Linked DNA regions of Rattus norvegicus. The protein of the gene in region 6 binds, or shares a complex with, the protein of the main gene of each other region. Links are inferred from orthologs where the notes say so. Each region holds a gene or a part of one and is shown on either strand. Other genes may lie near its edges.

Evidence for each region.
Region 1: B9d2 (region 6) and Mks1 share a complex: the UniProt entries of both Homo sapiens proteins name them as parts of the tectonic-like complex. The link is inferred for Rattus norvegicus from reciprocal best matches to the Homo sapiens genes B9D2 and MKS1.
Region 2: B9d2 (region 6) and Tmem231 share a complex: the UniProt entries of both Homo sapiens proteins name them as parts of the tectonic-like complex. The link is inferred for Rattus norvegicus from reciprocal best matches to the Homo sapiens genes B9D2 and TMEM231.
Region 3: B9d2 (region 6) and Tmem107 share a complex: the UniProt entries of both Homo sapiens proteins name them as parts of the tectonic-like complex. The link is inferred for Rattus norvegicus from reciprocal best matches to the Homo sapiens genes B9D2 and TMEM107.
Region 4: B9d2 (region 6) and Tmem216 share a complex: the UniProt entries of both Homo sapiens proteins name them as parts of the tectonic-like complex. The link is inferred for Rattus norvegicus from reciprocal best matches to the Homo sapiens genes B9D2 and TMEM216.
Region 5: B9d2 (region 6) and Tmem67 share a complex: the UniProt entries of both Homo sapiens proteins name them as parts of the tectonic-like complex. The link is inferred for Rattus norvegicus from reciprocal best matches to the Homo sapiens genes B9D2 and TMEM67.
Region 7: B9d2 (region 6) and Ahi1 share a complex: the UniProt entries of both Homo sapiens proteins name them as parts of the tectonic-like complex. The link is inferred for Rattus norvegicus from reciprocal best matches to the Homo sapiens genes B9D2 and AHI1.

What each region holds. Positions count from the first base shown.
Region 1 is NC_086028.1:73,158,985-73,162,787, reverse strand, and holds part of Mks1 (tectonic-like complex member MKS1), read right to left. Parts: intron 3,055-3,803; coding exon 3,012-3,054; intron 2,577-3,011; coding exon 2,511-2,576; intron 1,941-2,510; coding exon 1,861-1,940; intron 1,528-1,860; coding exon 1,458-1,527; intron 1,372-1,457; coding exon 1,264-1,371; intron 701-1,263; coding exon 567-700; intron 135-566; coding exon 52-134; intron 1-51. UniProt on the Homo sapiens protein: Component of the tectonic-like complex, a complex localized at the transition zone of primary cilia and acting as a barrier that prevents diffusion of transmembrane proteins between the cilia and plasma membranes.
Region 2 is NC_086037.1:56,810,689-56,814,977, forward strand, and holds the start of Tmem231 (transmembrane protein 231), read right to left. Parts: upstream 2,828-4,289; 5' UTR 2,817-2,827; coding exon 2,678-2,816; intron 2,576-2,677; coding exon 2,406-2,575; intron 1-2,405. UniProt on the Homo sapiens protein: Transmembrane component of the tectonic-like complex, a complex localized at the transition zone of primary cilia and acting as a barrier that prevents diffusion of transmembrane proteins between the cilia and plasma membranes.
Region 3 is NC_086028.1:54,269,630-54,274,232, forward strand, and holds Tmem107 (transmembrane protein 107), read left to right. Parts: upstream 1-1,566; 5' UTR 1,567-1,697; coding exon 1,698-1,784; intron 1,785-1,961; coding exon 1,962-2,029; intron 2,030-2,087; coding exon of another isoform or gene 2,088-2,111; coding exon 2,112-2,212; coding exon of another isoform or gene 2,213-2,329; intron 2,330-3,045; coding exon 3,046-3,142; coding exon of another isoform or gene 3,143-3,337; coding exon 3,338-3,407; 3' UTR 3,408-3,891; downstream 3,892-4,603. UniProt on the Homo sapiens protein: Plays a role in cilia formation and embryonic patterning. Requires for normal Sonic hedgehog (Shh) signaling in the neural tube and acts in combination with GLI2 and GLI3 to pattern ventral and intermediate neuronal cell types.
Region 4 is NC_086019.1:216,623,621-216,628,127, forward strand, and holds the start of Tmem216 (transmembrane protein 216), read right to left. Parts: upstream 2,900-4,507; 5' UTR 2,884-2,899; coding exon 2,871-2,883; exon of another isoform or gene 2,857-2,870; intron 2,316-2,856; coding exon 2,214-2,315; intron 1,814-2,213; coding exon 1,721-1,813; intron 1-1,720. UniProt on the Homo sapiens protein: Part of the tectonic-like complex which is required for tissue-specific ciliogenesis and may regulate ciliary membrane composition.
Region 5 is NC_086023.1:30,366,059-30,369,861, reverse strand, and holds part of Tmem67 (meckelin precursor), read left to right. Parts: intron 1-774; coding exon 775-929; intron 930-1,042; coding exon 1,043-1,151; intron 1,152-1,927; coding exon 1,928-2,005; intron 2,006-2,487; coding exon 2,488-2,553; intron 2,554-3,803. UniProt on the Homo sapiens protein: Required for ciliary structure and function. Part of the tectonic-like complex which is required for tissue-specific ciliogenesis and may regulate ciliary membrane composition.
Region 6 is NC_086019.1:90,320,523-90,323,919, forward strand, and holds the end of B9d2 (B9 domain-containing protein 2), read left to right. Parts: exon of another isoform or gene 1-1,597; intron 1,598-1,948; exon of another isoform or gene 1,949-2,035; coding exon 2,036-2,349; 3' UTR 2,350-2,621; downstream 2,622-3,397. UniProt on the Homo sapiens protein: Component of the tectonic-like complex, a complex localized at the transition zone of primary cilia and acting as a barrier that prevents diffusion of transmembrane proteins between the cilia and plasma membranes.
Region 7 is NC_086019.1:17,703,863-17,707,665, reverse strand, and holds part of Ahi1 (jouberin), read right to left. Parts: intron 1,483-3,803; coding exon 1,380-1,482; coding exon of another isoform or gene 1,197-1,379; exon of another isoform or gene 73-1,196; intron 1-72. UniProt on the Homo sapiens protein: Involved in vesicle trafficking and required for ciliogenesis, formation of primary non-motile cilium, and recruitment of RAB8A to the basal body of primary cilium.

The DNA.
Region 1 (3,803 bases), on a different chromosome or scaffold from region 6:
GCACTCAGTGACAAAGGGCTCAAGGCTCCCAAGGGGCTCAGTGTCACTCACCGGGACTGCTGCAGGCAGTGCAGCCGGAAGGTGACCGTACCCGTCGTCTCAGTGCGGAATCCAAAGCGGCTCAGCCGCTCCCCCTGGGCAGACAGCGGAGACAGAATGGTTTGTGAGGACTAGACCAGGGCGCTGCTGCCATCTGGATTCCTATTCTCAGGTAGTACAGCATCACTGAGTAACTTTACTCCGTTATTCAGACAGCAGCATCACAAGGGGCGCCAGGCTCCACCCTCATTTAAGAATGAGCAAGAAGCAAGAGTGCTTCTGGCAAGTTCATTCTGCATCCGATTACCAAGGCCTTCAGTGGTAGAAAGAAGAGATCTCTAATTACACAGCTCCCCAAGGACCCCTTGTATAGATATTTGTACCTCTAAAATATGGGCAGGCCTGGCAGCATAGGCCATAAGCAGGGGCTATATACCATGAGTACCATGAGCACGCTCAACAATGAGAGGAGGGCCACAAACAGGAATGTAAGTTCTCAGCCTGAAGTCTCCCCAGAGATGAGTCACCTTGAAGGTTCCTGGTATCCTCACATAGGATGGGTCCTCCAGCTCCAGGGAGCCACCAATGAAGAACCTCCTTAGCTCTGCCACGAGGCCCAGCTCCATGGGCCTCCACGTGGAGGCAGTCAAGGTGTGTGATCCTGTGCAAGGAAGAGGGGGAAGGGGCCGAGTTCCATCCCTGACTTCCCAGCAATGACCTGGGTTGGTGATGACCTGGCAAAGGTTAGCGTGGTGGGTGACAGTGCCTGACTGGAAGACAGGAAGACAGAATCTGAGCTATTCCAGGCATCGCTGTGCTCTAGACAAGCTTGTCAACCTCTGAGAACCTGCTTCTCTTTTGACCTTAGTAAAATGTAGAAGCAATCAGGACACTACGCCTCACAGAGGGGCTGGGAGAATTAGAGGGGGTTTACTACAGTCCCTGGCACACAGAAACTTCTATGGTTGGTGCAGCTTCTCTCTCAAGGTCTAACTGGAGGACTGCGGTATGTGACAGCCCATCAGGCTGCTGGACCAGGTCAGTTCCGGTTTCACAGTGTCTCTTATGGGAAGGGAGAAATTCCACAAAGCAGCAAGGGATTTTTCCAGTTAGAGCTCCCAGTTCCTAATCCTCTCTCCTTATCAGGAGCATCAGAGTTTTTGGGAAGTGCTGGTCTTGTCGATAGGAGAGAGGGCATCGGGAAGGGCAGGGACAAGAGGTTACCTGGGGTGACAGGCAGCACCACAGCCCCGTAGCCTTCCACACGATACCTCTGCCAGAAGTCCAGTGAGAGGACCTTACAGTAGAGCACGGGCCACTCTGGGAGTGATTCTGGAATGTGAATGAGGTGGCACAGGGACCTTTGTTAAGAGAGGACCCTGGCTGTGGATTAGTGAGGCTGAGGGTCAGTTACTCACCATCTGATTCATCCTCATGGAGGAAGAAGGCTTCAAACGTGAATGGAAAGGAGAAATAGGCCACCTTGTCCTGGAAAAGAGGAGTGGGGTGTCATGTTCAACTCAGTCACAGGGAGGACAAAGCCTCATTGGAAGGGGTTCTCTGTGCCCAGTGACAAGGTCACCTTCACACAGGGGAAAGGAAAACTGTCCGACTGGTAGGAAGCCACAGGCAAAGGCACAGCTGAATGTGAGCTGCTGCCATTCTCTAAGAGATCAAAGAGCAACTCTGGCCCAAGCAGCCCCACGGAGCCCACACAGAAGCAGCCCCAACTATGGCTCCTCCACAGAGAACACAGGGTTTGGCCTGATGAAGCTTCAAATGCCACCCGGAGCTGCTATCCCCTGGCAGACACCCTCTCACCCTCCATACCATTCCCAGGGATCTGGTGACACAGGTCTGGGTTACTCCCGAGAGCTGCTGGAATGATGGGCTGGACCAGTCTGGAAGCCAAGGAGCAGACACAGTAAGCTCATGAGAGAGGGTGGGAGGCCATGTGAGCAAACAAAGCCATGGCAGGGTTCCTTCACACATTCATTTGCCCACCCACTGGTCCACACAATGTCATTTGTTGAGTCTGCTGTAGGCTGATATGTTTGGAGGCTTTTACAGCCAGATTGTCTCTCCTGGAGCTAATAACCTACTGTGCCTATGAACAGGGCAAGAGACATAGGTGTAATTAAGCTATGGAATGGGTGCAGTCGTCCCCTAGAGAGGTAGAAAGTAACACAGGTCAGGTTTAACCTCAGAGGTGCTCAGTTTAGGGCCAGCAGGAGAGGAAGAAATTCACCCAGCCTGGAGAGCCCTCAGTGAGAAGGCAGGACTATGGTGCCAGAAGCCGAGAGGAATGCTTCATAAAGAAAAGTGAGCTATGTCAGGTGCTTCAGACAGGCCAATGTAGTGGAAGGACGGGGGCACCTTTAGAATTGAAATGTGGAGGTGACCTGTGACCTTGACTGGTTTCAGTGGGAGTGGACAGAATGTCAGAACAGAAATGTCTGAAAAGCACTTACTCGTAGCTGGCAGCTCCACAAAGAAGTGGACATAGAGGTTGTCATGCTCATAGCCTCGGGCTGAGACTGAGAGAGAAAGCAGAATGTAAGTTTAGCTTGCTCTCTTACTACCCTTACCACGCAGTCTAGTCTGTCTTCCTTCCTTTCCTTCCTTCCTTCCTTTGTTTCTTCCTTTTTTTGAGACAGTTTTTCTCTGTGTAGTCCTTGAACTCACTCTGTAGACCAGGTTAGCCTCAAACTCACAGAGATCCCCCTGCCTCTGCCTCCCCAGTGCTGGGATTAAAGTTGGGTATCACCACCACTCAGCTACTCAGTCTAGTCTTGAAGGGCCCAAATGCCCTGCAAAGAAAGCCTTCTCGGGGCCCAGGAGCCTCAGTTTCCAGAAGACTCATCACTCAGCTTCCCAAAGACCATGTCCAGCCCAAACTGAGCCAAGGTGAGTAGCTACTCTCAGCTCCAACAGACTCTCTACCTAGCCTGGCTCCAAGATAAGACACTTACCTACCTCTCCATTCACAAAGAGCCGGAGGGCACCCGGGGCAATCTACAGCAGAGGGAAATGGGAAGGTATCAGGTCTAGAGGGAATCAGCATGCCCCACCTCCAGCCCTGTCCCCAAATCTGCAGAAGGCCTTACACTGGAAGAACAAGCTTGGCCACACTCTGCATGCTCTCCACCCTGACACTTCTCTAGGGGACGCTTTCCTATTCCTAAGACCCTCCGAGTAACTGCACAGTATTTCAGTATTACAGTATTACTGTATTACAGGGCGGTCACTAGAACTCACAGGCAGCCAGCTTTTCTTCTTTAGTTGTTTATGCCATCTGTCTGGCTTTTTTTTTTTTTTAACATGAAAATCTTGCTCATGGAGCAGAAAACATTACAGGTTAATTTTCTAGAGAAGGAGTGTGGGGAGGGTGGTGATGGTGGTGGTGGTGGTGGTGGTGAGTAGTTCTACCTTTGTTTGCGGGTCTAGAAATTGGTGGCGGGAAACACAGAAAGGACCCCAGAGACTGACCTAACCTGTTTTAGTTTTTGTTTTCTAAGATCCAAAACATTTGACCAATAAAAATGACATCTCTTTGCCTATCTAAGGTGTTATGGAATAATATCCACGTGAGATATGAGGAAGGCATTTTTGATCTTTATAGTGTTTTTAAAATTAATTGTAAATTAATGCATGGCTGCATTACCACTGATAAAACTCTCCAAACCACCAAACCCCAGAGAAGTCAAAATGCCTGGTATGGACTTCTCACTGCCCAATACGCAATGACCACTACCCACCCAGCC
Region 2 (4,289 bases), on a different chromosome or scaffold from region 6:
AACAAAAAAAAAACAAAAAACAAAAAAACAAAACAAAACAAAAAAAAACAATTAACATCCAAAGCAAACACTTATGCCCCAGTTACCTAATGACTGTGTTAGAACTGCTCCCCAGGCTGGGTGATGGTGGCACATGCCTTTAATCCCAGCACCGGGGAGACTGAGGCAGGGGCATTGCTGAGTTCGCGGCCAACCTGGTCTACAGAGCAAGTTCCTGGACAACCACGGATACAAAGAGAAACCCTGTTCGGAAAAACGAAAACAAAGAAGCACTCTCCCGATGTTTTTAATAAGATTTGCTGCGAGTCTACTTCTGTTTCCCGATGTTTTTAATAAGATTTGCTGAGAGTCTACTTCTGTTTCTGAGTATTCTCTACCGACATTCCACAGGGGAAGGCCGGAGCCTTCGTTTTCCTCCCCTTCCCACCAGACCCCATGGCATCTCCCCGCTCCCCTGATCCCTTCAGTTTCCCTAGATGCACATTTTGCTTAGTCAGCATTCTGTCTAAGACGATGACTATGCAAGTCCTGTTCGCAACCCTGACTGCATCTCCTTCCTTGCTTCTTCGCGAGGTTTATTTCCCTGCAGGAAATAATTGTTTTCTTTGCTTGCTTTGTTTTCTCTATGTGCATGAAATTTCAACAAAAAGCTTCCGCTGGCATTCAGAGGTGTATGACATAAGTCTGGGCATGTGGTACTCGTCTGTTGTCCCAGCTTCTTAGGGGGCTGAACGGGACTTACTGCTTCAGCCAAAGCCAGCTTGGGCAGGCAACAAGCAAGGCAATAAGCCATCTCAAAAAGAATAAAAAAGCCGGGGTTGGGGATTTAGCTCAGTGGTAGAGCGCTTGCCTAGCATGTGCAAGGCCCTGAGTTCGGTCCCCAGCTCCGAAAAAAAGAAAAAACAAACAAAAAAAAAAAAAAGAAAAAAACAAACAAAAGAATAAAAAAGCCGTAAGATTTAGTTAAAAGCTTTAATTCATACAATAATTTTAATAATAAAAATAATTGGGGCAAAATTTTAAAAAAACACATCAAGGAGTAAGGGTGGGTAATGAGATAACTCAGCAGGTAAAGACCCTTGCAGCCAACCCTGGGAATCTGAGCTGGATCCCTGGGAGAGTGACAGGAGGGAACCGACCCCTTCCATGTTGTGCCTCTGACTTCAGGAGCCAGGGCTCCGGCTTTTGACACAGAATAGCCTTGAGCTTGCTGTGTACGTAGGGGAGGGGCAATTTAAATTCATCACTCTGCTCATGTCATTGAATAAGCTACAGATCTTAAAACTAACAAACTCGGTTGGTTAACAAGTACTGATACATATACCAACCACAGTGAGCCTTCACTTTTCTGTCAACAGGTTTGTGATAAGGAAAAAAATAATTATACATATATATATATATATATATATATATATATATATATATATATATGAGAACCAAGTAATCTGAATTAGATTTTGCATATTGCTATCTTATTTACCTGTTGTGGGGAGAAAGTCTGACACCCCTGCCACGCACCCGCCCCTTCAGCTACAGGAGTTTGCCTTCTAGGCTAATAATCAGACCTGTCCGAATGGATCCACATTTGAATGTAGGAAAGCCAGATGTCCCATACGACTAAAGGAAATGTAAGGAAGCATTTGATTTATGCGAAAGCAAACACTAAACTGCAGACAGTAAAATGTTCCAGTTTCATAGGAGACAGCTGCAGTGTGGAACCCAGTTAGGAGCCTAACCCAGACAGGCGTGGCTTGGCCAGAGCCGGAGTCGAGAATTCAACCAATCAGCGCTTTCCCTACCCTACGTCCAGTCTGCATAAAAAATGCGGGCACTTTCTGTCTTTACAGCCTGGTGATGTTCAAATTCAGCGACATCCTGGCGTCTACAGAACCCGGCCTTCAAGCCCTTAAAAGGGTTTTCACAGCCACTTTTTCATTCAGAAGTGACCAGCACCAGAGACAGGCAGTGCTCTGGCTTCTGGACTCAAATCCACCAAACATACCGCCTGCATGGTTGATTGTCTGGGGACACCTCAAGAAGCTGAGTAAAACTATCTAAAAAGTTAAGCATGCGCGGGCCAAAGAGACTTTGTTTCCAACCCCGGTGGATCCTTGAGATCCAAGCTGTGGGACTGAGCATTGGCTCAGTGGTAAAGTGCTCGCATGCAAGCAAAAAGCCCTGGGTTTGATTCCCAGCACCCCACAACCCCCAGCACGGCGTTGCATAGCAGAAATTCCTGGCCCTGGGAAGGTGGAGGCCGGAGGATCAGTTGTTGAAGAACGACTTCGGCTATATAGTTTAAGGCCAGCCTGGGATACATGAGACTGCCCCCACAGCCCGTCAAATGACCCAACTGGGATCTCACCCCATGCTTTCCCCCCAGGGTCCGGGCGGGAACCACGCACCGACACGAGCGGAACGCGCAGGTGAACCCCCTGCAGCCGGTTGAAAGTGGGGTACGTGCTCCAGGCGAGGAAGGCTCCCGGCTCGGGCCCCAGTAGAGCCACCAGCAGCACTTGGTGCTGGAAGCGCACGTTCGGCTGCTCCTCGTAGTTGCTGCGCTTCAGCCAAAACCCTGCGGGAGACAAGGCGTGTTGGGGGAGCCGGGTCAGGATAGCCGGCCTGGGCCCGCGGGCCGCGCCGAACCGAGTGGCCCTCCAGACCCAGGCAGGCTTACCGTGGCTCCGGAAGGCCACCAGCAACGGGGGGATGTAGGTGAGCGCGGTGGCCAGCAGCAGGAAGAGAGCGGCCTTGGAGCAGAGCCCCGCGCGGTAGGCGCGCTCGATCGGGTGAGAGAAGAGATGGTACAGCGCCATGAGCCCAGGGCCGCAGCGCGGAGTCTCCACGGCAACCGACGGCGGGCAGAGGAACCAATAGCAGGCACGCAGGCCTTTAGTAAGGGGTGGAGCTAGCGGGAGGAGGTTTCTGTGTTAGTTAGTACATGCATTTTGATTCGGTTCCCGTGGGTCCCTTCAAGAAAGCAACAGAAACAACATTTCCACTCACCAAAGTCTGTGTCAGTTGTACAAAATCAGATGTGCATAGATGTTGACATCTCCCCATAGGTCATCTATTAACTCACAACATAGGATGGTTGATATAGCTTAGTTGGTAAAAGGCTAGCTAGCTTACCATGCAGGAAGCCCTGAGTTCATACCCAGCACTTCATTAAACCCGGCATGGTGACCCGCATCTGTAATACTAGCAACTCTTGAGATGGAGGTAGGAGGACCGGAAGTCCAAAGTCATCTTTAGCGACACTGAGTTAGAGACCAGCCGGAGATATGCGGGACTGTATCTCAATGGAAAAACTCCAGTATGGTTCATACTGAAGTCCGGCCACTCTTTTTTTTTTTCTTTCTTTTTTTTTTGGAGCTGGGGACCGAACCCAGGGCCTTGCGCTTGCTAGGCAAGCGCTCTACCGCTGAGCTAAATCCCCAACCCCCCCAACGCCCCCCCCCACTCTTATAAAAGGGCCACAGTCCTAGAACCAGGTACTTTTGCCTTCAAAGTTAGTGCTTTCACTTTGCCCCGTAGCAGAAAAGATAGAAAACGAGAAACAAATCCCTTGGTTCTTCAAAGGTTTGAGGGTAATTTACTACACGGCTCCTTCTGGTGTACTTAGGTATAAACGCTGATATTGTCTTCCTCAAAGTTAGCATTAGCGAATCACTTAGGTAACTACTAACAGGAATATCTTAACGTGAAAGACAGATTTTATCTGTTTTGAAGTAGGGTCTTACCATGGAGACTGTGCTGGCCGTTGATTCTTTCTCCAGGTCCTCAGCAAGAACAGTCAGAGCTCTTAACCCCTGGGTCTTCTCTCCGGCGCCCACCAATTATATCTCTTAATTCTGGAAAGGCCGTCCTCTGACCTGTACAGGCCTGTCATGGTGCTTATCTGAATATTACATAAATACTAAATAAATGTTATAACATGTAAGTAAGCTGGAGAGAATGGCCCGTTTTCCAGAGGATCTAGGTTTGACTTTCAGCACCCACATGGTGACTCATAGCCAATTGTAACTCCAGTCACAAGGGATCCAACAACTTCTGTGGGCACTGCATACATATGGTACACATGGTATATAGACATACACGCAGGCAAAACACCCATACACATAAAGTTAAAATAAAGGAGTTGACACACAGCTTTTTGCTTTTTTAAAAAAATATTTATTTATTACATATAAGTATACTGTAGCTGTCTTCAGACACACCAGAAGAGGGCATAAGATCCCATTACAGATGGTTGTGAGCCACCATGTGGTTGCTGGGAATTGAACTCA
Region 3 (4,603 bases), on a different chromosome or scaffold from region 6:
TCTGAGTTCACAGCAACCACATGGTGGCTCACAACCATCTATAATGGGATCTGATGCCCTCTTCTGGTGTGTCTGAGGACAGCTACAGTGTATTCATATATAATAAATAAAAAATTAAAAAAATCTACGTTGTTGTTATTTAAGTTACAAATACTATACTGTTTGTCAAACATTCCACCAGTCTTTTATAATGAAAGTGTGAGTGTGTGTGTGGGTGGGGGGTGTCTTTTGTCTGGTTTGGGATCTCATGTTAGGTTAGGTTTATCCCCCACTCAGTGGGAAGAACTCCAGCCTGTCTTTCATGACCTTTAAGTAAAAAACGTTGACTCTGCATTCTAAATGTTTTTACTCACTGGTTTAGGTAAGGGGACCCCATGTATTACTTTAGGGAGACAGAAACATTTCCTCTCTCTCTCCCCCTCCCCCCAATTCCTTGAAACGAAAATTTAGGAATTATCTATTTCAAAACTTTCCTTTGATATTATTCTAGTGTCACCCTTTAAAGTTTTTAAATTTACAGCATACATTACCTTGCAGGGTTTTGTTGGGGTTTTGTGTGTGTGTGTGTGTGTGTGTGTGTGTGTATTTGTTTGTTTTGTTTTGTTTGTTTGTTTTGTTATCAGTCTCTCTGCCTAGAATATAAACTGGAGGGACTTTATCGATGTATTCTGAGTCAAGCACAGTGCCTGGCATCTGGGAGACATCAGATATTTGTTGAATGAATGAAATCCCTCTGGGTCTTGTCTTTTAGGCTGGTTTAGAGGCACACACACACACACACACACACACACACACACACACACACACACAGAGAAATGAGAGAAGAGGGGGTGCAAAAGGAGGAGGTTCATTGTCAATGGGACTTGATTGTGAACTGGGATGGTAGTGAGAACTTTCCGATCGCAGGCATTTCATCCGAAGCCCCAAATCAGTCACATCACCCTAAGAAGAGGTTCTGGGTCTGTAACTGAGCAATGTCCGCGGCCTGGCAACTCAAAGCGAGAGTGAAATCGGTGGTGAATCAGCCTGGTTTAAGCCTCCCAGGGGCGCACAAGCTGTTCTAGTCCCCCACTCCATTCTTCACCTTTTCAGATCCCTTGGGATCCCGAGGAGGCTGTCACCTCATCCACCCACATCCTATTCTACCCATTCCAAGGTTGCTCATTTCTGCACTCGGCAAATCTTTCATGAAACCGAGACAAGTTATTTAGGGAGAAATTAGAGTCGTTCATCGGCAGAGGTTTGGTCTTGGGTGGGAGAGGGAGCCCTCTGACAACCAGGGGCTGTGGGGGGGGGGCGGGGAGGGCTTGGCGAGACTGTGGGGCAAAGCTCGGTGCTGAAGCTCTACTCCTTCGTTCCCTCATCTCCTGGCGCCCAAGGCAGTGAGTGGGAAGCACAGGAAAAGGGAGGATTTGGTGGTTACGGGTGCATCCTCCCGGATTCATCCCACAAGCACCAGGAGGTGAGCATCGGCTCGGGTACCTGGCCTATAGACATCTGCAGAGGGCGCAGCACTATCGCGAGACTTCCGGAGGCAGCTGCATGGCGCCTGAGGACGCAGTTACCATGGCAACCGGGCGGCGCCTGAGCACGCGGGAAGGAGGCTTAAGTAGAGAGGTCTGGCCTGCTTGCTCTGGGAGACTTGATGAGTGACCCTCCTCAGACTTCTACGGCCTCCGCTTTGGGCCCCCGAGGCCATGGGTCGGATCTCCGGGCTCGTGCCCTCTCGATTCCTGACGCTCTTGGCTCATCTGGTGATTGTCATCACTTTGTTCTGGTCCCGGGTAAGACGTGGACAGGGCGCGCGCGCGTGTCTTCTTGTCCCTCCCATTCTCACCTTAGAGTGGACCCAGCTCAGCTCAGTCCACTCCCACAGACCCACACTGGGTCCGTTGCTCCCGTCCCCCGCAACCCCATCCCTCTTTTGACATTTCTTTCTTTCTTTCTGCCCGGCTCACCAGGAAAGCAACATCCAGGCTTGCCTGCCTCTCAAGTTCACCCCGGAGGAATATGAGAAGCAGGACAACCAGTGAGCTCTTGGGGCGGGGTGAGAGTGCCAGGGTCTTCTACGCAATCCGGAAACCCAGGTCCATCACCCTTTCTCTCTGCAGACTGGTAGCAGCGCTCTGCCTCACCCTGGGCCTCTTTGCAGTGGAGCTGGCTGGCTTCCTCTCAGGAGTCTCCATGTTTAATAGCACCCAGAGCCTCCTCTGTATCCTTTCTGCCTGGCCAGCGTCCCCATGCGACATCATCACCACTCACTCTTTCCACTTCTGTAGGCCTTTTGGGCACAAGTCTCTGCCCTACGTGGCAAAGCGAATCTCTCTAGGTGAGAGGTTTTAGACAGTTTTGGGGAATTAATAGACTTCAAACCTTAAACCCTGATGTGAGCCAGGTTCTGGCGATCCATGAGTGGGAGTAAAACCACTTTATCCTGTTTGAGGAAGAGATGGATAAACATCTGTAAATCAGTGTGATTAAACAGTATTCTGTAGGAGTGTGCAAAATACAAACCATTGTGGGAACTCAAAAGGGACCAAGAAAATGAGACACATAGGAAGGTTCTCGATACCCGGGTGTGATGTTGCAAACCTTTAATCCTAGCACTAGGGAGGCAGGAGCAGGTGAATCTCTAAGTTCGAAGCCAGCTTGGCCTACATAGTGAGTTCCAAATCAGCCAGGGCTACATAGAGAGACCCTGTTTTTTAAAAAAAAAAAAAAAAAAAAAAAGATAGCCGTTGACTCTGAGTTGTGGACAAGGAGGACCAGAGCACTGGAGAAATTCCCACAGTGTATCAGACCTGTAGGTATTCTTGTGAGGCCTAGGGCATATGTGACATTAACTCCCAAAAGTGTACAGGGAGAGGTCCTATCAAAACAAACTCAGCTCTGGCCTCTTACACATAAGTGTCCACAAATTCAGAAGGCATGGCTGCCAACTCTGGTGTTTGTCTTAAGGGAAGGGAACAAGCTGAGCCCAAGTCCGAGTACTAAAGGGACCCATCACTTACCTATTATTTTCCTTGACTCTGCTGTATTTTTAAGCCATTGCAGCCCACTGTAGCGCGTCTGTGGCCCTATCTTTCTTCATATTCGAGCGATGGGAATGTACCACGTACTGGTACATTTTTGCCTTCTGCAGGTTATTTTGGAATGGAGGGTGGTGGAAAGTCTACCCCAAATCTGAAGGTTTCCCCCACCTAGACCTTTCCTGCACATGTGAAATTGGTAGAGTTTTAAAGAGTCGTACCCATCCGCTAACCCACTCACATATAAGGCTTGGAGGTTTGAGTGTTTGGGTCGGAAGGGGCTCTAAACCCACCCCCTACTTCCACAGCGCTTTTCCAGCTGTCACTGAAACTGCGTTATTCATCGCTGTCTTTGGGCTGAAAAAGAAACCCTTCTGATCACAATCCGATGAAGAGACCAAAGCCGGAAACGTGATGAACTCCCTCCCATTGCTGGAAGAAGAAAGGGAGAGGCTTCAGTTTTCTCTCGCCCTAGTCTTTTGCTCCTCCCAACTGCGTCTAAACAGAAAATGGCAATGTTGGGATAAGATCTCACAAATCTTGGGTTATAATTTTATTAGAGTTTTGTAATAAAATTCATTTTATAATAAGAGCAAGGCTTAGACTATTTGTCAGAAGACCATTGGGTAAATCAAAAGGCTGATGTAAATAAAGGCTTTTTTCTAGCCTTCTGTACGTGAGCTAGTAGCTTATGCTTCTATTTGGATTTTTACGGTACAAAATAGGCGGAAGTGAGTGGGCGGGAATATGTAAATAAGAACCTCACATAGGGCTTCTAATTTGCTGTATGTGAGCGGAGCATTATGGGAGAACTTTGTTTCTCTCTTTCTGCGCCGAATGGAAAAATAAAATATTTCAGGCGACTTGCAAATAGATATTGCTCTTGAGTTGCAATAACTATAAGTCATTGGGTTCGTGCTAAATTGTCATATTCTCACCCTTTCTTTAATATGGAATGTCTTTACTTAATTAGGAATGGGCTCCCTTTGTCCTTTATCGTCAGGAGGTTAATCCTTACCTGTTCCTCCTCTCGGAGGGCAGATAGAAAATGATGATTGGAGCTTGCATGATCTGCTGATTAGCATTTCCGTGTAATCAGGACCTGACAACATCCTGATTGCTCCTATCTGATTCTCTGACGATCATATTTATTTCGCATGTACTGACTGATAGAATTTAGGAATTTTGTCCTGTGCTCCTGAAATTTCTCCTAACACTGGTCAGAGCCATGACTTTAAGGTGCTTTTAGTAATTGTGTATATGACTGACTGATTGCTCAGACCTTATTTCTATGACAACAAGTGCCTTGCTGCTGATTGTTTGCCCAGCTTCTAGAAAGCACTCTAGGCTCGGTGTGGGGAAAGCAACCTTGGCCCCTCCTCATGCTTACCAGGAGATCCTTTCTGATGAGGCCTTAACCCTTATGACCTAAAGCGTCTCTTGCCTTCATCCCCACATTTCAATTCAATGACCTCCTTACCGTAGGCAAAGCCCTATTAACAATACTGAGAAAATAGATGTGATATGACCTATACTCAGCTTTGGGCATATAGAGACATTTCCCAGCACTCCCA
Region 4 (4,507 bases), about 130 Mb from region 6:
AAAAAATGTTTGAGGCAGAGACAGTTAAAATCTCTTGAGTTTGAGGCCAGCCTAGTCTATATTGAGAGTTCCAAGACAGCCAAGGCTACACAAAGAGGCCCTGTTTCAAAAAAGAAAAAAGACAAAAAAAGCAACATATGAGCCAGGCATAGAAGTACACATTTATAATCCCAGCATGCACGAGGCTAAGGTCAGAATTGAGAATTCAAGTTCATCCTGGTCTCCTTGCTTCAAAACACCAAAACCAAACTGCGTATCTGTGTGTATACACATGTATGTTTATATCCACATGTATACACATAATTTATAAACAAAGTAAAATATGTATAGCTATAATATACATGTGTGTATGTAAATGTATATGTACGTTAAAACTTCAATTCATATGGAAAATAATTTAAGTGCATTAAAAATGTCTGTTCTTTAGGGCTACAGAGAAGGAGCACTGGGTGGTCAAGAGCACTTGCTGATTTCCTGAGGACCAGGTTTACTCAATGGCAGCTCAGCACTCTGTAACTTCAGTTCCAGAGGATCTGACGCCTCTCTCTCTCTCTCTCTCTCTCTCTCTCTCTCTCTCTCTCTCTCTATCTCTCTCTCTCTCTCTCTCTCTCTCTCTAAATAACTTTTAATTCTTACTTGTGCTTGTATGTGCCCACAAAGCCCAGAAGACAACATTGGATCCTCTGGAATTGGAATTAGACAGTTGTAAGTTATCTAATGTGAATGCTGGGAACTAAACTGGGGTCCTCCTGCAAAAGCAGGAGGTTTAAAAGTCCTTTTAAACCTCTGAGCCATCTCTAGCCCAAGACCTTCTTCTGACCTCTGTGGGTACCAGACATACACGTACTATACAGGCATACATACAGGCAAAGTATCCATAGACATAAAACAATGTTTTAATTAAAAAATATGTATTCTAAAAGCCAAATATGGATTCTGTACTGTATAAATCTTTCTTACTATTGCCAATATATAAAAGAAAAAAATGTTACCATGTTTTTCTTTGCTTTTTTTTCCCTTGTTTTTGTTGCTTTTCTTTACTAAGTTTGATCACATTGGCAGGTTTTTTTGTTTGTTTGTTTGTTTGTTTGTTTGTTTGTTTTGAGCTAGGATCTCCTTATACATCCCTGTCTGGTCTGGAACTCACTATGTCTAGGAACACATAGCCATCCTCTTGCCTCTGTCAGTGGGTACTGGGATTAAAGGCATGTGCCACCATGCTCACCTTAGCAAGGTTTTTGGTCTTCTATATGTGAACTGACTCTTAGTGTCCCTTACCATTTTTCTCCCTTGGGTTTGTATCTTAACACTGGGATGATATGTTCTAAGTAATCAGCAGTTTTGCTCTGTGTCTCTGGTGTTTAAAAGCTTCTAGAGGAATCCTTGTTTAGAGAAGTGGAGGGAACCTTAGAGTTCTTTAGGAATGTACTGCTTTACTCTCTCAAACAAAGCAAGGAGAAGAAGCAGGCACTCTTGTAGTAGTCAGGCAACTGGAAAGGAATGAGCTAAGATCAAATGCTACTGCCAGTTCTAGCCTCACTTAGAAACACACAGGTAAATCTTGACCTAAAATACAAAGCAGCAGCTTGAAGCCTTAGGGAGGAAGCAATCAATGGTATACATTACACAGACCCAATCTCTGATAGTGAGCCTAGGTTATCAAGTTTCAGGCTCCAGCATGTCTCATAAGCAATGGAAATATTTTCTGAACAACACTCACCAAAAAACAATCGTATTACTTCAATGCCAAGATAAAGGAGCAGCATCACCACATCTAGGACTAGGTTGGCTGTTGGGTATGGCAGCAGGAGACCTACAAGTGTAAAAGCCAGAGTATGTAAACAGCCCCCACATCCCCACAAGGCTGCCACACATCCAGGGACAAGGATACTAGTCTTAACTTCTCATGAATCAGTTAGCAAGGTATAGATTGTTACAGCCACAGGCTTTAAGTCTAGAAGTCCTGACTCCCAAATGACTGAATTATAACGGTACACAGATCTGAATATTTCAGTAAAGAGGGATGGGGAAGCCCACATTTCTCAAGTTCAAGACTTGCTGAAAGACTTCCTACTTGATCATTCCAAAGCCACTAGTTGGAGAGACTTCTGCCTTGCAGTGGAGATGCTGCAGGGGCCAGAAGATAGAAGGTTCTTGGAGTAGGCTAAAGTAGAAAAGGGCTGCTGAAGCAGGCCAGTTAGGCCCAGCCTTACCTTTGTACAGGAAAATAAGGAGCTCCAGCAGGAAATAGGTAGCATAGTACCACCCATTCAGAAAGAACAGGATTTCCAGAGGGGTTGAGGACAATCTTTTATCTGGGAAAAAAAAAAAAAAAAAAAAAAAGCAACACAAAGAATGGACAGGGCAGCTGGAGCTCTGCCCCGTTCTGTGTAATGATTCTGTGTAATCTGTAGAAAACACAAGGTTATTGTGAATGAGGGAGAAACTTCTGGTTGCTAAGAGTGTTGATGTGAAGGGAACTGCCTTCAACCTCCTTTCCCAGGAATCACTTTAAGGTCGACTTCTCTGACAATTAAGCTATAATCACAGCCGAGAGGCACCTCAGATATTCAACCCTGTCACTACTGAAGAGGACATTGGAGCACAGAAATTTGCTTAATTCTGTCCAAGGCCGGAGGATTCGTAACTGGGCCATCCCAGAGCAGGGCCAGCCTGGAATTTTTAAGAGTACAGTATCCGAGTATCCATGCAGCCACTCGGGGTGGTCTGAGCAACCCAAGCCCAATTCGGACAAGTGAAGAGTAAGACCCCAACTTTTAGAAATGGAGGATTAGGTAGAGCTCTGGAGAGGGGCCTGGCAGGTACCAGTGGGATATAAGGGGCAGAGACACACACCTCCAGAGTCTCACCTCGCGGCGCCATGTTCAGTCCCCATGGAAACTGCGTACGCTGCAGCGCCCGGGGCAATGCAGCGCTGCCGGAAGCGCGGCACAGAGGCGCCCGGGTTTTCTGGCCGCTCTGCCTGCGAGTGCTACTCTATGGTTACCCCACCGGCCGCGCCCTTGCACGGAGCAACGCCCGCGGTCAACAGCGGACTGTGGTCTAGGGAGAGGATAAGGTTATATACGAAGGCAGAAAGAGCCCAGGAGACCCAAACAGCTCTCGAACTGAACTCTCCACCCCTGGCGTCATGGTGTTGGGCTTCATTGGCCGGGTGCGGCCGAATACTTGGAGGAGCGGCCCCAGGCCCACCATTCTCTTTCTACTGCCATGTGTTAGTTTAGAAAAAAAAAAAAAAGCAGCACGGCATGCCACTGTGCACAAGGCTTACCTAGGGCCCATTGACGCAACAAAATCCTGTGGAAACACCAAAACCACTGGAGGTAGAATGACCTTTCTAGGACATGTGGTAAACAGCGGTGCTATAACGTGGCTCTCCTGCCACCCAAAAAGTGCAAAGGTGTTGAAGGGAGACAGTTTATGCCCAGGTAGAAATTGAGAGATGTTTCCAACAAGCTTGAGTTAAGAATCCTGGCCGCAATTCGAAGCAAGAGCGTGTTGTTGCAGGCCGCAGAGTAAAAGAGTAAGACTTCTGAAAAGACATGGGTTGACTCTGCAGTCAGCCCTTAGAGTATGGCAGTCAGACAACAAATAACTGGAGAGAGTAACTAACCTGTAATGAAAGTGTTATTTCCCTACCTAGTGAATAAAAGCAGTAATTGTTGCTTCTCAAAGACCTAAAGCAGCTGGAGAGATGGCTCAGCGGTTAAGAGCACTGCCTGCTCTTCCAGAGGTCCTGAATTCAATTCCCAACAACCACATGGTGGCTCCCAACCATCTGTAATGGGATCTGATGCCCTCTTCTGGTGTGTCTGAAGACAGCTACAGTGTACTCAAATTTAAAAAAAAAAAAAAAAAAAAGACCTAAAGCAATTCCTCACCTGGAGAGAATAATTTAAGCAGAAGCCTATTTCTATCACTCCCCACCTCCACCTCTGCTTTCCTGCCTCCTTCACTGGCTTATTCTGGTCTGGTTTAGTTTGACTAGACAGATCTCCCTATGTAGGCTAGGCAGGCCTCAAATTCTCCTGCCTCTGCTTCCCGTCCAGTCCTGGAGTTTCAAGTGGGTGTCACAACGCTCTGGCAGGTCCTAAATGGAATTTTAATCCCCACTATCAAGAACCAGGGCAAGATGAGGTGATGGAAAGAACCCTGGTTCCTGCACCCCAACTGTGCTACCTTTACACACCTCCTGCTCTGAACCTCAGAGCAAAGGAAGGTGGACCAGTTGCTTGTTTTTTTTAAATTATGGGTCTTAAATCACCCTGCCTACACATATTGTGTACACAGATAGCTCTCATGCTACAGTGAAAAGTTTATCCATTGTCAACAGATTATATAGTCTGTAGCCCTAATTTCACCTGGCTGGTTAAGAAAATGATGCTGCTTCATGTCAGGATGCCACAACCAAAAGTGGGCACAGACTGAGTCAGTAAACTGCCGGAACCTCAGAATACATAGCCTGGTCTTCTGCCCTCTGGGGCTC
Region 5 (3,803 bases), on a different chromosome or scaffold from region 6:
AATGTCGAGCTGTCGAGCCCTGCCTCTCTTATGGAGACTGAGCAGCAAGATTCACTAACAAGTCTGATATGAGACGGGAGAAAGATAAGTTCTTTCTAAAGTGTTTTACTTGAATAACAAAGTGGAGTTGGTTTGTTGTTTTTATTTTTTTTCCAGATAGGGAAAACTGGGAAAGAAATGTGAGTGATTAAACTCAACTAATGATCTTATTTTGTTTACTCAAGCAAAGTGGAATAAATTCTATTTCAGATGTAACATACAATCACAGTATTCCTTCAAATGTAACTATTTCCTCTAATAGTTTCTTTAAAATGTCATTCTCTATATATTTGTGCTTCTTTCAGTTAGGCTAATATTTTGCCTAAAATTTATAATTAAAATTGTTATTATTCTTCAAGTATTGAGTTTTTCTGGGGGGGGGGGGTGGCTAGAGATATAGCTCAGTAGTTAATAGCTCTGGTTGCTCTTGCATAGGACCCAGGTTCGATTCCAGTACCCACATGGTGACTCAAAGCCATCTGTAACTCCAATCCCAGGGAAACCGAAGCCTTCTGGCCTCTGTTAGCATGAACATGGTACAGACACATATGCAGGCAAAGCCCACAGACATGTCAATACAAATACTTAAAAGATTATTGTCTACTTGAGCTACAGAAAAAGTATTACAAAGGCAAAAGTAAAATACAAAGTAATTAGTAGATTTGATACAATTAAAATGAGACAATTTTCTTTTAACTTTTGCTTCCCTGCTAATGAGCCCTGTTTCCTGTGTAGACTCACAGCAACCTGACATCTTGCCAAGCTCTCGGGAATATGTGCGTGATGAACATGAACTCTTACGACTCGACTACATTCGATGCTTGCCGACTGTTCCACTACGTCTTCGAAGGCGCTGCTGGGCTGACCGGCGTGCATTCTGTCCCGTTCTGGTGAGGGTACTGGGATTGATGAAATACTCCCAAGTGAATTCAGTGCTATTTCATGAATGCTAATAATATGAACTATTGCTTCCATTTATTAAGCCGAGTCTGATTGTTTGTAGGAGACAGAACCTTCCTTGGCTGTTTTACGGAGACCAGCCAGGATTGGCTTCTCAAGTTCTCAGTACTACCCCTCTTCCTACAAATTTCAGTTTTAAAGGACAAAACCAGGTACAAGTCCCTGTACAATGGGAGCAGTGACCACACATGATCTCCAAACTTTAAGATAGAAAACTAACTATGGCTAGAGGTAGGGCTCAGGAGTGGCACGCCTGCCCGACCTACATGCATAGACCTGGCTTCAATCCCTCAGTCCCCAGTGTCAGAAAAAAGACACAATCACTAGTTATACTTGTTTCCAAGATTTTTTACATAGTCAAACAATACAAACATATTGTTTAAGTATTTAAACATACTTAAACATACAAAGTTTACATACTCAGCTATGTAAATATCAGCTGCTCATAGAAATGAGTGCGGGGTTGGGCTGTCTCACTTTGCTGCATAGACATCTGGATTGTGTGGGCATGGTGGTCCTTGGAGGGTTGGGAAGAGGCATTTCATCACCTAATGCAAACACCTGTCTATCACATGTGCTTACAGAATGTCACAGACTGTCACAGCTCCTAGTTCTCACCTCTAACCGTTGAGCTTTCCAGAATAAGGTCCTATGTCTTTCCCCATACTCATCTCATGTAACAGATCTGAGAGGAAGGTACCTGCCACTGTGCTGCCCCTAAATCCTAAAATAACACTTCTGCAAAACACCAGTCCTGTTTAAAGTATATTGAACTATATAGATAGTAGGGTTAATTTCAAATAAATGAGGTGGGATTTAAAATTTCAACAAAAACAGTGCTAACATTGAAAAGGTAGTCAGTAATGAAAACTACCCTCATAGCGTATTTAACTTAATACTGCTGTTGTTCTCTAACCAAAACATAAAGCTGAAGTTTGTTGCTGCTTCCTACGATATACGAGGAAACTTCATCAGATGGCAAACTGTAAAAGGTGGTGTTCTACAGGTAAGTATGAGTCCAGCTAAGGTATTACTAATGTACTTTATTTTTGTCTGAAGCAAAGAGTAGAGGAACAGACAGACAGAGTATTGCTTGAAGAGAATCAGTGAAAGCATTCCTGATGCTTTAAATGAGAACTTTAAAGTTACAGTCAGTGTGTGTGTGTGTGTGTGTGTGTGTGTGTGTGTGCGCGCGCGCGTGCGCATGTGTGTGTGTTCATGCATACATGTTACATGTAGGAAGGACTGAGGACAATTTGTGTAAATCCGTTCTCTCCTTCTGGTCCCAGAGACTGAAGCGTGGTGGACCGTGCCCTTACCTCCTGAGCCATCTTGCCAATATTAAAATTGTTAATACATCCTTAGCTTTTTGTGGCCTTCATACATTAAAAAAGTAGAAGATAGGGCATCTGTTCACATGGGAGCCACAGAGCTCTTCCAGCAAAGGCGTTTGTGAGAGACACTTACCAGTTGTATTCTCTATCGAAGCTTTGTCCAGACACCGAGAGAAGACTAGATGCTGCATATTCTTTTGGAACAACGTACCAGCAAAACGTGAGTGTGACTCTGTTAGACAGCCTGTATTTCCCTTCATTCAAGTGACTGGAATGATAGGTGAATTTTTTTAACTCAAATTATTTTAATAGTAAGAACAATTTCATGAATTAATAAATCTTCTATGGTCTGGGCATAGAAAATGTTGAAGACGAAAGTTCCTTAGCATCTACAGAGTTAAATATTCTACAGTGTGTGACTTTCAAGGTCAGCTCCGCAACTGCACGCAGGTAGGCTTCTGTGTCCTCCACAGAACGCCCCTGCTGAGCGCTCCGGAACAAATGTAAAATACTACCTTGTGTTTAGAGGCTACTAAAGACGTAATTCTCTGCTCCGTTTACCGCCCAACAAAACAACAGTGCCTCCTTCTCTTTCTTTTACCACATCCCGGTTGTGTGTAATTTTAAGAACACACTACCACCTTTGCCTGTGAGCCGCTGCACTACCAGCTGCCCTCTCCATCCCCCCACCCCCACCCCCGGCTTAGCTCCAGGGTGGCCACTGCCAGCCCTGAGCCAGCCTCTCTCTCTACCCACCTCAGGTTCCGGAGTCTCGTCACCAGCTTCCACCCAAAACCCTTGAATCTGCAGACAAAAGACACGCAGACCGCTCTGTTGCTTTACAACCTGCCCACGAGGCACAATTGCTGGGCACAACTCTCTCCTGCCTGGAAATCCGTGCCCTTACCAATTTATTATCTCCGTCTCTCCTTCTGTCCTAGACTTAGTGGCTTGTTCCAAGTAGCCCTGCCAAGTGTCTTGGGCCACCCGCCCCTAGCTGAGGCTGCAGGCCCTGTCTCTCCCCGAGGCCTTACATGATTGCAGCATCCTCCTTCCCCCAAAGCATGACAGAAAAGCCCCTTCTCTCCTTCTCTGCACCTCCTTTTCCTCTTGCGACCCAGAAATCCCGCCTGTACCTTCCGCCCAGCAATTGGCTCCTGGCCTTCTTTATTGACAAATCAAGAACCAAATAAGGAAGGAGACCTTAGTATCAGAACCTCCCTTACACACACCAGTCTCCAGACTTCCCTTTCTCCTTCCTGTCATGACTTTCTTTCACTTTGACACTGCAGTATGGTACAAATGGTAACATTTGAAAGATCTCAGTAGCATATAAAAATGTTTCTTAACGTCTTGTATGTGCACACACACAGAACAAAACCCCAGTGAACAGTGCCTTCCTGAAAAAGTCATTGGAGGAAAATAAACATTTTTATTGATTAATATTGGACAGTTGTGCCAGAGATGATT
Region 6 (3,397 bases):
GCCCTGTCTTCAGGGCCTCTATTCTAGGTAGAAGATGGACCCGTTTCTAGATGGGGCCAGCCCAGAGGCCGTGGAGACCCAGAAGTCATCTCTGGTTGGTCCCATGGCCTTATATGGCAGAGGGGTTAGAGCTCTGCTGTAAAGGCCAGGAGAAGCTAACTAGTCCCAAGGACAAAGGCAGAGGGTGGAGGCAGAGAGCCGGAGACGTGGGTATTAGACGACGTGGGTATTAGACGTCTGCGGGAGAGAACAGCAGGGGATGGGGAGGTAGGGACAGAATGTAGGGCCTTGGCTGCAAAGGTGCTAAGACTCTCTCCTGAAGGCTCTGGGGAGCCCAGGAAGAAATGGATGGGTCAGATTTTCCCCTTGGACAGCATACTAGTTTCTGTGTGAGCACTGAGTCCTTGTTGCCTCAGTTCTGGCCTTTGGTAGCTTCCTCCCTGCTTGCTTGCTTCTTAGTCTCTCTCACTTAGCTGTTCACCAGCAAACCCTAGGGGCTCTGAAACCCACTTCTGCTTCTCACCCCATTCCTTCTGCTTCTCACCCCAGCCACCCCACTGAGCCCTCTCTGCCCTTCTTCTCTCTTTTTTTTTTTTTTTTTTGTTTTTTGTTTTTTGGGTTTTTTTTTTTTTTTGGAGTTGGGGACCAAACCCAGGGCCTTGTGCTTGCTAGGCAAGCGCTCTACCACTGAGCTAAATCCTGCCCTTCTTCTCTTACCTGGACCATTCTTCCTTCCCGTCTTCACTGTGCTCCCAGACCCAGGCATCAGGGTCTGGGACTGCACCGGACCCTGGGAGGACACAAATACGACCATGTTCTTCCTCTGCACAGAACCTTCCTGCAGATCTCCTGTCTCTCAGAGCAAACGCTGGAGTCTTCTCTAGCATCACATGGCCCCATGTAATCTGGAGGTCACCTCTGTCCTTTGTCCCCCATGACTCCCTGTTTTAGTCCCGTTGGGCCCACCAGGCCAGCTCCTACTTCAGAACTGTTGCACTGACGATCTCGTCCCCCTAGGTGCCTAGCTAGCCCACTCCTTTAAGCATTTCTATACCGGTTGCATCCTGGTTGCTTTGTTTGCTTTTGAGAACATAGTGCAGGCCAGCCTGGAACCTCAGCAGCCCAAGTGTGCACCCTTCCAGGTGAGGTCTTCCTGTATAGCCTAGAACTCATGTGTAGCCCAGGCTAGCCTTGAACTTGCAGGGATCCTCTTGCCTCTACCTCCCAAGAGCTGACAGTCCAGCTGTACACTGCAGTGCTCAGCCCAAATGTCCCCATCTTTAGTAAAGCTTCCTTTAGCTGCTCCCCACTTTTCCAAGCTACATCTCCACCCCTCCCTTTCTGGCTGTTGTTTTTCCCCAGAGCGGTTATCACCATCTGACATACCCTATAATTTACTTATTTACTATGTTGGTTGTCTAGGATGTCAGCTTCACAGGGCAGGAATTTTTGTCTGCTGTGTTCATTGCTGTGTCCCCAGCCTGGAGAACAGGGCCTGCCAGGGAGGAGCTCAGGGTAGCGGGGGACCTGGGCTGCACGTCCAAGCATTGGACTGTCAGGCTGGGACATTCAGCTGTGCTCTGAGGCCACTAGGAACCTAAAGAATGGGAGAGATGGTTGCACTGGGGAAGAAAGGAAACTTGAGTCAGGTGGGCGAGAGCAGAGCAGGTCCATAAGGAGAGAGGGCAGAAGGGGTCTTAGCTGAGGTCCTGACCTGGGGGCTTTGGAGAGAGAGACCATGAAGGGAGGTGAGATGAGGCCAGCCCTGATGAGTTTTCACACTCGAGAGCTTGGACTTTGTACTGTGGCACAGGGGAGCCATGGATGGGTTTTGAGCAAGAGGGTAATGTGGATTTCTATAGATCCCTGTGACTACTATGTGGAGTGGATGGGAGATGAGAACACAGAGAGGAAATTAAGGCAATAATCCAACGTAAAAGGGCTGTACCTTAGTCTCTACTGGTTTCAAGGAGATGGGAACCCAGGGGCAGGTCTGCCTCCTTTGTCCTTTTTTCTGACCCCTCTTGTCCTGCAGGTTGGCCTCGACTTCATCTCCAGGTGTGGTCCCAGGACAGCTTTGGCCGCTGCCAGCTTGCTGGCTATGGCTTTTGCCATGTGCCTAGCAGCCCAGGCACTCACCAGCTGGACTGCCCTACATGGAGGCCCCTGGGTAGTTGGAGGGAGCAGCTAGCACGGGCTTTCGTGGGTGGCGGGCCACAGCTGCTGCACGCAGACACCATCTACAGCGGGGCCGACCGCTACCGCCTGCACACGGCCGCGGGTGGCACAGTGCACCTTGGTATCGGTCTGCTGCTGCGCCACTTTGATCGCTACGGTGTGGAGTGTTGAGGGACTTCACTGCCACCAGTCACCATCATCCACAGCCCTGCGCACACGACGGCACAGCAGTGAAACAGGCACATAGACTCTGGAGACTGTCAGTCCTGATCTCACCCAAGTCATGGCCCTTATGCCATGGACTGCAAGGCCAGGAACTACCCCTGTGGCCCATGCTCCACTGAATTACCGGGTAAAAGTCTGTGAGTTGGAGGGACTTGAGGAGAGCATGCTGTTTGGCACTGTCAGGGGCACTTAATAAAAGCATGCATTTCTCATAGGTAAGGTGTCCCCTCGTACCCGCTGCAGTTCTCAGATGTCCGTCTTCTTATTTAATCCTCCTTGACACTTTCATCAGCAAACCCAAAGTCTGCCCCTACCTTTCGCTCTATGCCTCCTAGGCCCTCTAATATAGGACCCTGTTTTCTCACGAAGTCGCAATTTTCCCTTTGACCCTTCAACAACTCCCAAACCCACGGGGGGCGCTTCTGTTGGTCACCAGCTCTAGTAGTGTTCCGCCGCCAGGAGGCAGCACCCTGGAGGTGGGGCGGGGCCGGGGTGCCCGCCCCCTCCCCGCAGGGCTGAAGAGACCCCCCTCGGAGCCCGCCCACGCTAGATGAAGACAGTGGCCCCCCCATGCCCTCCCCCTGGGGCTGCCCCCGCCCCGCGTGCGCTTCCTGGGTGGGGCCGGGGCGGCTTCAAAACCCCCGCCGCCCCAGCCGGTCCCGCCGCCGCCGCCCTTCGCGCCCCAGGCCGTCCCCCTCCTCCTCCCGCCGCGGATCCTCCAGACAGCTAGGCCCCCGGCCGGGGCAGGGGGGACGCCCCTTCGGGGCACCCCCGGCTCTGAGCCGCCCGCGGAACCGGCCTCCGCTGGGAGCCGGCAAGGGAGCAGCGGAGGAGCCGTCCGAGGCCCCAGAGTCTGAGACCAGCCGCCGCCGCCGCAGGGAGGAGGGGGAGGAGGAGTGGGAGGAGGGACGAGCTGGTTGGGAGAAGAGGAAAAAGTTTTGAGACTTTTCCGCTGCTACTGCAAGTCAGAGACGGGGGGACTGCTTGGCGCTGC
Region 7 (3,803 bases), about 73 Mb from region 6:
TGCCAAATACATTTATTCTGTTAAACCTTCTTCACCAGTTTTCTTAGTGATATGTTTCTTTCTCTGATGATATCTTGGAGCTTTCTATATGTTACAGGTACAAATCCTTTAGGTGACATTCTATTTCAGCCCAGTTATTATTACAGATTCTTTTTTTTTTTTTTTTTGGTTCTTTTTTTCGGAGCTGGGGACCGAACCCAGGGCCTTGCGCTTCCTAGGTAAGCGCTCTACCACTGAGCTAAATCCCCAGCCCCACAGATTCTTTTTAAAAACAAATTTATTTTTATTCTTATGGGCACGGGTGTTTTGCCTGTATGTATGTATGTACGTATGTATGTGTGTACATATGTACGTATGTACGTATGTATGTAAGTACGTATGTACGTGTGTACGTATGTACGTATGTATGTATGTATGTACAGCCTGAGCTGCAGTTGCTGAGCCAGGTTCCTGACGTCACTGTTTGCACCCCTGACACGCATGATTTTAAAGTTTCCATTGCATAAATCCAAGCGTCTGTTTCAAACGATCCCTAGCTGGCAGGGTGTACGGCGTGTAGCTGTCACCTTAGGTTCTCAGACGCTAAGAGCCTGAGGCCAGCCTAGGAGACAGGAGCTGCCCTTCCCTAACAAACAGCCCTCACAGCTACACAGCAAAAACAACCAAAGCCCAGAGAAAAGCCTGAAATGTTTTCTAGCATGATTGTATACAAAACCATTCTCAGGATTATTTAATTATTCATCTAGGTTTTCTATACAAGTAGATTAACTTATTTTTAATTGAAAACGTTATAGAAACAGTCTAATTCTATCAAGCACAGTTAGGGTCACAACACTGAACATTTTGTTTCAACAAATGTCTGCCTACAGAGAAACGAAGGCGCCCACAGGCTTCCCTCCGTTTCTTACGCCTGCCCACCAACTCCATGCCCAAGGCCTATCTCAGAGGTAAGCGCAGCCCACTACCTGGTTTATAGCATAAATCCGCGTGCTTCTCAGGCCTCCTCCCACACCTGGACAGGCTTTCAAGGGGCTCTCGGCTCTCTGCAGATATTCCTATCTTCTCTCTGTAGAAAGATCTCCACGCTGTGTTTTCTACTCGATACCATACAGTCTGTCTCCCTGTTCACAGCCCAGAGTTTTGGACAGAAAGACTATTCTGGTGGTCTTTTCCTTTCAGGTTGATGACAGTCCAACTTACACTACTGCCTGTCCACCAGCACTCCCTGCAAGGCCACAATGGCTTCTTGGCTGCCATTCCCTGGCCAGGCCGGTGCTCTCTGGCATATGTAGACCAGGCTGTCTGGCATGTGTTCTTGGTGATGGAATAACTTCCTCCTCTTTTCTCTCACTGCTACCTTTCTGCTGATTTTCTCTTACCTCTATCAGGGTGACTTTGCGGACCGTTGGCTCACTTTTCTTCATCTCCATATCCGATTTGTGTCCTCGCTCCTCGAAGTTTTGATCTCTGCCCTTTTCAGAACTACAGGAAGGAAAGAGGCTGAGTGAGAAGCCCGTAAGGCAGCGGCTGGAGTGGATGAGATAAGGCGTGGATGTAGGGAAGGGACGGGATGGACACAGATGACAGGGGGGAGGGGCTGAGGGAACCACTGGGCAGAGCTACACACGGGATGACCCAGAGCAGTGGGGACAGCTGCTCCATCCTAGCCACAGAGAAGGGACAGGAGCTAGACAAATTCTGCCTGTTTGTTTCTGAAAAACATTTAGCTGCATGGGGAAAACCAGAAAGTTTTATCAACACAGATGGCGAACATGCTGTTATAGGATTCTCCTTAGTGGTGGAATGAAGAGGTTCCTAGGTGAGCTCACACAGCAACTGCAGAAGGCAATGAAAAGCAATGGAAACAGCAAGACATACACCATGGTTTGTTGTAGCACATTACATGTAAGGAAAAAGAATACAGAAACATGAAAAGAGAGAAACCCAGGAACTAAGAGACCAGTCTTTTCTCTAGAGAACGTGTGAAAGGTGGGGATTTCCTGAACAGAAGGTAAAAAGATGGAGAAATTTAAAACTCAGGCCTTCAGGAGGGATGATAAAGACCACTGTGTGCGCAAAACTGCATAGCACACTCATGTCGAGCCCTGGCTCTCCCGTGAGCGGATGGACAGGGACTTTTAGGGAGGGTGGACAAGTTCATACAGTTTTCTCCGGACAGAACCATACCAGTGTTTTAGGAGGAAAAGACACTAGAATCTCCTTGCCTGGGAGCACATGCATGCACACTCCCCACGTGTGTGCCCACAGAGGACACATGAAGCCATAGCGAGAAGGCAGTCATGTGAAAGTCAGGAAGATAGGCAATATTTTGAAGGCACAGTGTATCTGTGAAGCTTAGTAATGACAGGTTTGGAGAGATAGCTCAGCATGTGACAGCCTGAGTCTGATTCCCCAAATCTACATGGTGGAAGGCAAGAATTGACCCCTTCAAGCTGTCCTCAGAGCTCCACATGTACACCCTGGCACACAGGCACTGCCAAGTAAAGGAATATATGTAGAAAAAGAAATAGGTAAAATATTATTTATATGGACATTTCTTTTACTAAAGAAATAATAAGAATATATATGGATACGTAAGTTAAGGATATGCAAATTCCAAGCAGGTGAGACACATCTTGAATTCCAATGACTGAAACCACAGTCTGAGTCTATCAGGTACTGGTGAGGAAGCACAACTACCTTGCACACAGGTAAACCAATAAACAACGTAGGAAAACAGTCCCAGCCATTCCGGTCCTAATTGTTTACCCAAGAGAAGCGAAGGCAAATGTGTACACGGTGACTTGTACACAAATACTGATATTTGCAGTGGCTCCAAACTAGAGACTTCAAAGAACTTTTAACACGTAATAAACAGGTAAGTTGTGAAACTTGAAACTCTAGAAGGAGAGAGGAAAGCTCACTGGTTGTCAGGGGACAGTAGTTACAGAAAGGAAGAAATAGAAGGAAGATACTTTAAAAAAAAAAAGAGAAATTCTTTAATTGTGGTAATGGCTCATGGAGTCTACCTTTCTTAAAATCTGAAATGTGTAAGATGCTATTTAGTGTACATTATTTCACTAAAAGTGTTCAAAATGCCCATGTATATATATGGAATCAGGCTGAGCAAGTCGCGGGGAGCAAGGCAGTAAGCAGCACCCCTCCATGGCCTCTACAGGAGCTCCTGCTCCAGGCTCCTGCCCTGTTTGAGCTCCAGTCTTCATCCTCCAGTGGTGAGCTGTGACTTGTAAGTGTAAGCCAAACCAACCCTTTCCTCCCCAGTAGCTCTGTTCGTGGTGTCATCACAGCATTAGTCACCCCAATAGGGCAGGAGCATCACTGACCTGGTGCTTACCAGTTAGGCTACTGGCTGGCCAGTAACCCCTTGAGGATTCTCCCTCTCCATGTCACTGGGGTTGGACTACAGCCATGTGCTATCGTGTCTAGCATTTCCCCTGGGTTCGGGGCTCAAGCTCATGCTTCTGAGATAAGCACTTGCTCCCTGAGGTATCGCAGCCCCAGTCTGACCTTTTCTCACTAACCTCGCTGCTACATAATTTCCTTAGGAATGGCCAATTCTACTTTGAATAACTTTAATATTATCTTACCAAGTCTCTCTGGTTCATCCTTACCTACTAATGTGCATTCTTCTGTCAGATGTCAGACTGATGCTGAATGCTTGAGTTACTCCCTCTGTTTGACCAGCTCCTTTCACTTACTGTGAGCCTATAACCCTGGTCTCTTCATTCTCTCTAGACGGCTTTGTCCATTGCAGAAACCCCAACAGTTTCCTCACGACTGCA